Linked DNA regions of Sus scrofa. The protein of the gene in region 1 purifies or fractionates together with the protein of each later gene. This does not show direct contact. Links are inferred from orthologs where the notes say so. Each region holds a gene or a part of one and is shown on either strand. Other genes may lie near its edges.

Region 1 (3,802 bases):
CGACGGGGCCCCCGAGAAGGGAGGTGGCCCAGGGCCGGCCGCTGCCTCATGCCTCAGTTTCCTCGTCTGCGTAATTGGCCTCCCTGGGCTGTCCCCGGGTCAGGGCTGGGAGCCAGGCCACCCCACTGGCCACAGGGTCTTGGCTCCCTGCTCTGGTTGAGACCTGCCTGGCCTTGAGCCGGCGCCCTCAGATTCACCGTGTGAAGCTTGGGTCACCAGCTTAGACGGGGACACTGCGCTGAGGCCCCGAGAGGTGAGAGGGCGCGCCCGGGTCAGACAGCGGGGCCTGGGTGGGTGAGTGGGGATGCGGCTGGCAGCCGAGCTCGCTCCTGTGCCACGAGGCTTCTGGAACCACGCGTCTCACCCCAAGTGGCAAAGCATGAGGACAGACAGACAGGCGAACCCATATTTAACTGGCCCTGGAGACGTGCGTTCGGGCCGGGCCGGGCCGCCTGCTGGGGTCCGGCTGTGTTTTCTGCTCGAGCATCCTTCTGGCTGTGATGTGTGGGTCTGGGACCCACCTGGCAAGGCCTGCCGTCCAGGCTGGGCAGAGGCCCCTGCACCCTTGGGGTCAAATGTGGGGGGAGCTGGGGTTCTAACATTCCCAGCCTTGAGGGTCTTTCCCTCGGGAGGAGGCTGGGCACCCGGTGGGCACACACACCCAGACACTGAGGCCGTGGCCTGGCTCTGGTCCAGTCCTCCAGCTGTGTGACCTCGGGCAGGTCAGGGAGCCTCTCTGTGTCTCATCTCGTCCATGAGAGGCGGGCGTTGACAGCACCTACAGGTGTGGGTCTGTATTTGTAAAGAGCTGAGAGTGGCAGTGTTCACGGGAGGCACTGGGTAAATAAAGTGACGGGAGCCGGGAGGGGGTCCAGCCTGCTTGCCCAGGGGGCAGGGGGGAGCTCCGTCCATGGGGCCTCTCACCCATGGGATGCGGGCTCCCCAGGACCCCCCCCACCCGCCGCCAGGGCCTCGGCCGGGCAAGGGATGAAGGCTGCAGCCGGAGCCTGTGTGGCCATCGCTGCCCAGGTCACCGGGGGTGCTGGCGGCATCCCTGTGCCCAGAGCCTGTGGCCTGTGTCCAGCCCTGCCCTCGTCTCGATTGCAGTGTGACCTCATTCCTCCCCAGCCTCCGTTTCCCCATCTGGACAAGGTGGATTCGGGGAGCCCTCCTGGTCCCCCCCCCCGGACGCTGAGCTGCTTTGAACACTTGTATTTTCATTTTCCAGAAACTTCAATGCTCTCAGGAAGGAAAACATTTATGAAAACAACCAATTGGTGAGTGCCCCCTTCCTGCTGTCCCAGCTGGGGTGCGCGGTCCCCAGAGTCCCAGGACCTGAGTGGGTGGGGCCTCCCCGTGCCGCTGCTGCCACCTGCAGGTGGCCACGTGGAGGCCAGGAGCTCGCCTCTGGGCTCTGCAGTCAGTCCAGGCCAGGTGACCCCTGCTCCCCAGAATGGCCCCCATCTTGTAGTGGGGCCCTCCAGGTCCCCTTTTTCTTGGCGGGGAAGGGGTGGGGAGGGCAGGGCCCTGGGTGGGTCCTGGCTTGGGTCTGCTCTCAGGCTGGCCTGGGTTCGAATCCTGCTCGGCTGTCCTGCTGTGGAACCCCTTTCTGTGCCAGCTTGTCTCCTGCTGCACAATGAGCTCTGTGACCCCTGTGGGCCGATGCCCGGAAAGGCAGCCTCCAGCCCCGGCCACCCATGTGCACTGCCCCCCGTGTCCATGCATGCCCCCAGCCCGGAGCTGGCATTCCGGCTGGCAGGTCAAATCTGCGTGCCCAGGGAGCCCCACTCGGCGCGGGCAATTTGAATTTAAATCTAACTTAATTGAGATGAAATAAAATGACATATTCAGTGCCTCAGCTGCACTGGCCACGCTTCAGACACTCACTAGCTGCACGTGGACAGCTTGGAGTAGGTCACATCCACCGTGACAGGGTCGTCGGACCGCCCTGACCCTGAGACAGGATGTGGCAGGAACAGGCAGCACAGGGAAGAGGTGGGGTGTCGGGGAGTGGTGAGCGTCTTCAGAAGGGGACAGGGCCAGCCTTGCTGGCTAAAGACAAAGGTGAGGGCCTGCGGGGTGAAACAGTAAGGGCCACAGCTGGGACAGAGCAGGAGATGGGAACAGAGGCAGAGAGGAGCCTGGAACAGAGCAGAAGGAGGCTGGAACAGAGTGGGGAGGAGGCTGGAACAGAGAGGAGAAGGCTGGAACAGCAGAAGGAGGCTGGAATAGAGGGGGAGGAGCCTGGAACAGAGGGGGGGAGGCTGGAACAGAGGGGAGGAGGCTGGAACAGAGCAGAAGGAGGCTGGAACAGAGGGGGAGGAGGCTGGAACAGGAGCAGGGAGGCTCGGGTGTTTTGCTGGCAGCTGCCACCACTTCCCGGGAGTCTGTGCAGAGAGTGGAGGAGGGGGTGACAAGGGGGGCAGCGGAAGGAGTCCCATCTGGATGTCCTCTGGAGTCAGAGCGATGGGAGGCCTATGTTTCTGGTGTGGAGGCAGGCACTGCTGAGGGCTGCAGGTCTGGGCACCCAGGAGCCTTATCTTGGACACACAGAGATTGCGGTGTCCCTGTCACTGCTCCATGGAGGGTGTGGCAGTTTAGGGTGAGGTTAGAGAGGTTTGGGCAAAATCGGGTGAGGCTGGCGTTAGAGGCAGGAGCCTGGCGTTAGAGGCAGGAGCCTGGCCAGGCTGGCGGGGGAGGGGAGGGGAGCGAGGAAGAGCCCAGCACGCCATGTGCAGAGTCCCCTGGCAGAGGAGGTGGCTGCTGGGGGAACCCCTCCCCTGTCCAGCGAATGTCCCTGTCTGAGCCTCCAGGTCCCCCCCCAGCTCTGGTCCCATGTCACCTGCTGGCTTGGGGAGGGCCCGTGCCATGGAGAAAGCTGCCCCCAACCGGGCACATAAGGGCCATGTTGGCCAGGGCGTCCAGGCTGACTCAGGGGTGTGGGGGCCATGGAGGGGTCTCAGCGGTGCCATGGCACTGGAGTCTGGGAACAAGTAGCTGGGGCCCCTCTGGACTGGTGCACGGCCTCAGCTGCTGCTACCAGGTACCCGCAGGTACCCTCCCCGAGCCCTGTGTCCGGGGTGTGAGTCCTGTGTACAGACGGGTAAACTGAGGCCAAGTACGCAGAGCATGAACCTTGAACCCAGACTTTTCTGGGCGTCGAGCGGGTCTGTTGCCTCGGGGCCCCTCCCAGGAGGAGCTGGTGGCCTGGCTGAGGAGGGGGGAGGGGAAGGGTCCCCCTCCTACCCTGCTGACCGCCCCCCCCCAGGCCTTCCGTGTGGCTGAGGAGCAGCTGGGCATCCCGGCTCTGCTGGATGCCGAGGACATGGTGGCGCTGAGGGTGCCCGACCGCCTGAGCATCCTGACCTACGTGTCCCAGTACTATAACTACTTCCACGGACGCTCCCCCAGTGAGTGGGCTGCCCGGCCCCGCGCCCCAGCCCCCAGCACGCGCCCCTCCCTCTGGGGTCCCTGCCCAGCCCCCAGCCCGCACCCAGTGCTGCTGGGCGTTCGCGCTGGGATGGGTCAGGCAGGCGGGGACCTCTCTGGAGCACACATGGTGCCCAGGGCTGCCGCCTCCTCTGAGGGGAGCCAGGGCCCGGTCCTGTGTGACAAGCAGGGTCCCAGCCCCAGGCCTCCTGCCGCCCCTTGGGTGCACGCACCAGCTCCCCCTGCCCCTCCCCAGGCCTGGGTTTGCCATCTGCACCCCTGGGGGTCTGTGCCCAGAGCTCTCGCCTTGGTGGGGTGGCACCCCGGGTGGGCCCCAGGCCTGGCTCCAGACGCCCGGCTTTGGTGCTGCGAT
Region 2 (4,421 bases), on another chromosome or scaffold:
AGGGTAGAGGCTCACACGTCTTAGTCATGGTTGCATCTTCAGTGACTAAGCAGGCAGGTGCTGTGTATGTATTTGCTAGAAGCTGATCACCCAGACTGGCACACACATCCTAACTACAGGCCCTGTTAGAGTTCTGCTTCCCCCGATTCATCCAAGTCATTCCTGCAACCCCTGTACTGAGGCGGGTGCCTGGCACGCAGTGGGCACTGTGGAAAGATGGTTGGATGCAAGAATAAAGAGCGATGGGATCTATGTGGTGCTGCACCATTTACTAAGCACTTTCAAGTACATCATCTGTCTCCCTGAAGGAATGAATGAACAAGGCCCAGAGGAGGAGATGGGGGCTGAGCCAGGCTAGGGAGAGCTGACTCTAGGAGCCACCGGGCCAAGTTCACACCACAAATGATCGATGGAGCTCTTGAGAACAGTCTTTGGCAAAACATAACCTGGGCACAAAATGAAGAGTCACTTAATCTCTGATCTATAAAGAAAATTCAGAGGTACGCTCAGTGCCGATAGAGAATAGCCTCTATGCATTAGGTTGTATTTCAGGACTAAGCTGCGCAGTGTTAACTCTTCCTAAAACATCCCCACTCCTGTGACAGATGGCATAGGGACATACAAAGTCAAAAGCTCTGTTCAATGAACAGAGCCCAAAGCATCACTCTGTCCTACCCTCCTCCTGGGGTTTATTAACACACCAAATTTAATTAGGAAGTGTAAACTTTATGAGGCCCAAGAGTTATGAGGCCATAACTTCAAGGTCAAAGGGAATTAAACTTTCCTAGAAGACAGAGGCCTGCAGGAAGTTTACAAATATAATGAGAATATCAGGGTAGGAGAGAGGGATTCTGGGTTCATGTGTCACATCCACCTCCTTAGATGACCTTGCCCAAATTACATCCTCATCTGGAAATGGAGGCCGGCCTTCTCAGAGCCCTAAAGGGCTAGCCTTGCTTTTGTGGTCAAGAATTTAAAACCCAACAAAAAAATTCAACCTCCGAATTGATCTCACTAGGAAGGTTCTGACTCTGGGAAACTGAAGTCTGGGTTGAGGGTGAGCTGCAGTCTACCAGGAGTTGATATCACTTCCTGATAGGTGGGGATGGAAGGGTTACCCCAAAATTTGACCTTGGAGTTAGGGAAGGGGAGGAATCAGAAACATCTGTGCCCAGGGAAGAATACTGTCATTATAAGAGACATTCTGCTTCCTTCCTCTGGCAGTGGTGACAACCCCCTTATCATTATACAGTTCTGATCCTCAACCATCCAGGGTACTGGCCAAGGCAAAGAACACTAGTCCTACGGCTCAGAGAGGCAAAGTGCTTGTTAAAGGACGAACAGCAGCTGGGAAACAGGCATGATGAGTTCTAGTCCAATTCTCTTTACATCTGGCACCTAAGTATCTTGCAAAGTGCAGCTCTTGGAGGCTGGCAAGGATGGAATTAGCAGCTCACTGTGGGGTTCAGGGAGATAACATACACTGGGGTAAAGCAACACCTACTCCCTAGTTTTTTTCTAACCCCTGGGCTTGGTGACCATTCTTCTGCTTCCCCATCCAGAGCAGGGCTGCAGAGCTTAGAGGCCACTCTGCCTGATGGGTGTTACTTCCCAGTCAAACCTTTTCATGCAGGCAATGGCCTTTTTTCTGGTGAGAAGTCAGCTCCCACTTTTTGTGGATGTCAGAACTGAGAAGCAACAGGTCAGTTCTGTTCAACCACAGTGTGGGCTGGCCCTGTGGGCAAGGCTGTTTTGCAAAGTGACAACTGGTGTCCTGGCCCTAGTGATAGGGAAGTTGGGGCTGTCTGTGGCAGTGGCTGATTTTGGTTTCTAAGCTGAAGCTTTTATCTGGCATCTCCTCAGGATGACAGGTCCCAGGGCAGACAGCTGTCACTTGCCATTTCTGTTACCCTCTAGTGGGATGGAAAGCTGGGCAAGGAAAGTCTCTGGACTCCCTCTCATCATTCTTTCCAGAAGAAATTCATCTCTAGGGGAAATAGGATCAGGGAGGGGGCTCAACCCCTGAATATTCCATTATAAAAGAGCAGGAGAGGTCTGGGTTGGAGTCCTGGCTTAGACATGGATCAGCTATGCTTGTCCTGGGGAGTGAGTGCTCACATCTCTCTGGGACGGTTGAGCCTTGAGTTTGGGGGGTCAAACACACCTGGGTACAAATACCATCCTTGCCACCAGTAGACTGTGTGACCTTGGGCAAGTACAGTCTCCCTGAGCCTCAAATGCCTCTTCTGTGAAAGTAACTCATAACAGCACTTGACACAGAGGACCAGGAAGTGTGATCATGCACGTAAAGCACCTGACACACAATAAAAGCTCAATAAAGTTAGATGTCACCTGTCACTGTCCTTTCCCCATGGACAACTCCACATTTCTACGTTTATAAGTCAAAGACCCCAAAGACTGCTTCGAGGGCCGATGCAAGAACAAGATGACAGGGCGCCAAGACTCTGTCCAGGACATACACTCCCTGACAAGTAGGCTGAGGATTGGGGCCTCAGTATTCCCATCTGCAAATTGGGTACCTGACCCTCACCCCCGCCCCATGGCCCAGGAACCCCCAAAGGGCGGTGCAGGCTACTGCTCCTTCCCGCTCCGGCCTTCTCGACCCTCTCAGATCTCGGGTCCATCCCGCTCAGCAGCTCCCTCAGTCCCAGCCCTCAGGGTGAGAGCCCGGCCTGGGCCTTCCGCGCTCCCGGCCCCACTACCTATGGTGGAGATGAAAGTGGAGTTGAAGGCGTCCTCGGAGAAGCGGAACAGGACACAGGTCTTCCCCACCCCCGAGTCCCCGATCAGCAGCAGCTTGAACAGGTAATCGTAGGTCTTCGCCATATTACACTCTCTCCCCGACGGGAAGTGCGGCCAGCGCCTCGCCACTGGCCCCTGGCCCAGTCCATCAGCGCCGATCCCGCCCCCCATTGGCTCCTGGCCCGCCGCGCGTCACCGCGGCCGACGCCCGCCCCCGCGCCCCGCCCGTCTCAGGAAGACGTGGGGAAGGGGCGAGCAGGGCGCAGAGCCGGAAGCGGCCTGAGGGCGCCGCTCATTGGCCGGCGCTCAGGACAGGGCGGACTGCGATTGGCCAGTGGTGAGGAGTCGAGGGGCTTCAAATGGGGACAAGGCTGGGGCATGGCATCTCTGTGTCCCCGCCTTCTTCCTCTGACTCTAGGGCGGCCACGCCCCCCGATGGGAGGGGGAGGGCGGGCAGCTGGGCCAACGGCTCCGCGCGCCCTCAAGCTGGGGCGGGGTCTGGGGAGCGTGCGCAAGCGCGCCGGGAAGGCCGTAGTGTGCCAGCAGAGGGCGCACGCGGGTGGTGGGGGTGTTCTCTGGCTCTTGCTGTTCCAGGCCGGAGCAAGTTCAATTAGCGTCGGGTCCAGCGCGGGAATGTGGCGTGGCGGTGGTGGTGCGGTCTGCAGGCTTCCGTGTCAGACCGGGCGGAGCCGAAGAGATAGGAGAGCAGAAGTACCGTCATAGTCGAAACGAGGCCCCCTCGAGACTTGCTCCGGGGCCTTGACGCTGGCCAGCGGATCTTCCTAGAGACACCCAGGCCTCAGCCACAAGCTGCGCCCCGAGGTCCGCAGGACTCCTCAGGATGCTCCCTTGGATCTATTTAGAGGTTGCCCAGGACTTGTCCCAGAGCCTCTCCCGCCGCGACCCAGTCAGCCGTCTGAGTTGCACCCTGGAGCCTTGGAACCCGCCGAGAGAGTTCGGATAGTGAGAATTAGAGGGAATACTAAAGAGCTTTTGGTTCTGTGCCTGCCAGTGTTGTCAGCACTTATAAAAAAATTTATAAAATATTTTGTCCACACCCCAACCCACCGAGGTAGGTATTATTGTGTGTGTTCACGCTTCCCCCCACCAAGTTTTACGGTGAGAAAACAAGACTGAGAGGTTAAATGACTTTCCCAGGCTCTTAACCAGATAAATTGGTTTTTGAACTCAAACCGAACAGCTTCAGAGGCTAAGGTCTTGATCAGATAGTTTTCTGCGTGGTAGGGATGAGCCACATCACTTGGGTGGACTCACCGCCATGTGTCACTCTGGGCTATCAGGCCTGGAGGCTTCCCAAGGATCTTGACAAAAGATGACTGCTGCCTCTCCTCACTGTCCCACTTCACATTCTTTGGCTAATCTGGCTCTGGTTAGGAAAAGCTTCAACCAACCAGAGGCAATGACCACCTGGCTGCATTCAGCCTCTGTGGCATTTGATACTATTGACCACCTCCTCTCACAGATCTTTTTCTTTGTACTCTTCCCATGTTATTTGCCTGCTTCTTTTATTCCCTCTATTTACCTTCTCAGGGTGCTGCTTCTAATTCTAAGGTTCCATTGCAGTCTACTTTGGGATTTTTTGCTCTTCCCTTAGATATTGGTGTTTCTCTTGGTTCTTTCTACCTCTGTTCTTGCTT

The links.
Region 2: the proteins of MICALL2 (region 1) and RAB8A purify together in Homo sapiens (co-immunoprecipitation; 3 studies listed by BioGRID and IntAct, with this or other methods). This does not show direct contact. The link is inferred for Sus scrofa from reciprocal best matches to the Homo sapiens genes MICALL2 and RAB8A.

What each region holds. Positions count from the first base shown.
Region 1 is NC_010445.4:960,935-964,736, reverse strand, and holds part of MICALL2 (MICAL-like protein 2), read left to right. Parts: exon of another isoform or gene 1-253; intron 254-1,228; coding exon 1,229-1,277; intron 1,278-3,268; coding exon 3,269-3,410; intron 3,411-3,802. UniProt on the Homo sapiens protein: Effector of small Rab GTPases which is involved in junctional complexes assembly through the regulation of cell adhesion molecules transport to the plasma membrane and actin cytoskeleton reorganization.
Region 2 is NC_010444.4:61,447,480-61,451,900, forward strand, and holds the start of RAB8A (ras-related protein Rab-8A), read right to left. Parts: upstream 2,873-4,421; 5' UTR 2,848-2,872; coding exon 2,724-2,847; intron 1-2,723. UniProt on the Homo sapiens protein: The small GTPases Rab are key regulators of intracellular membrane trafficking, from the formation of transport vesicles to their fusion with membranes.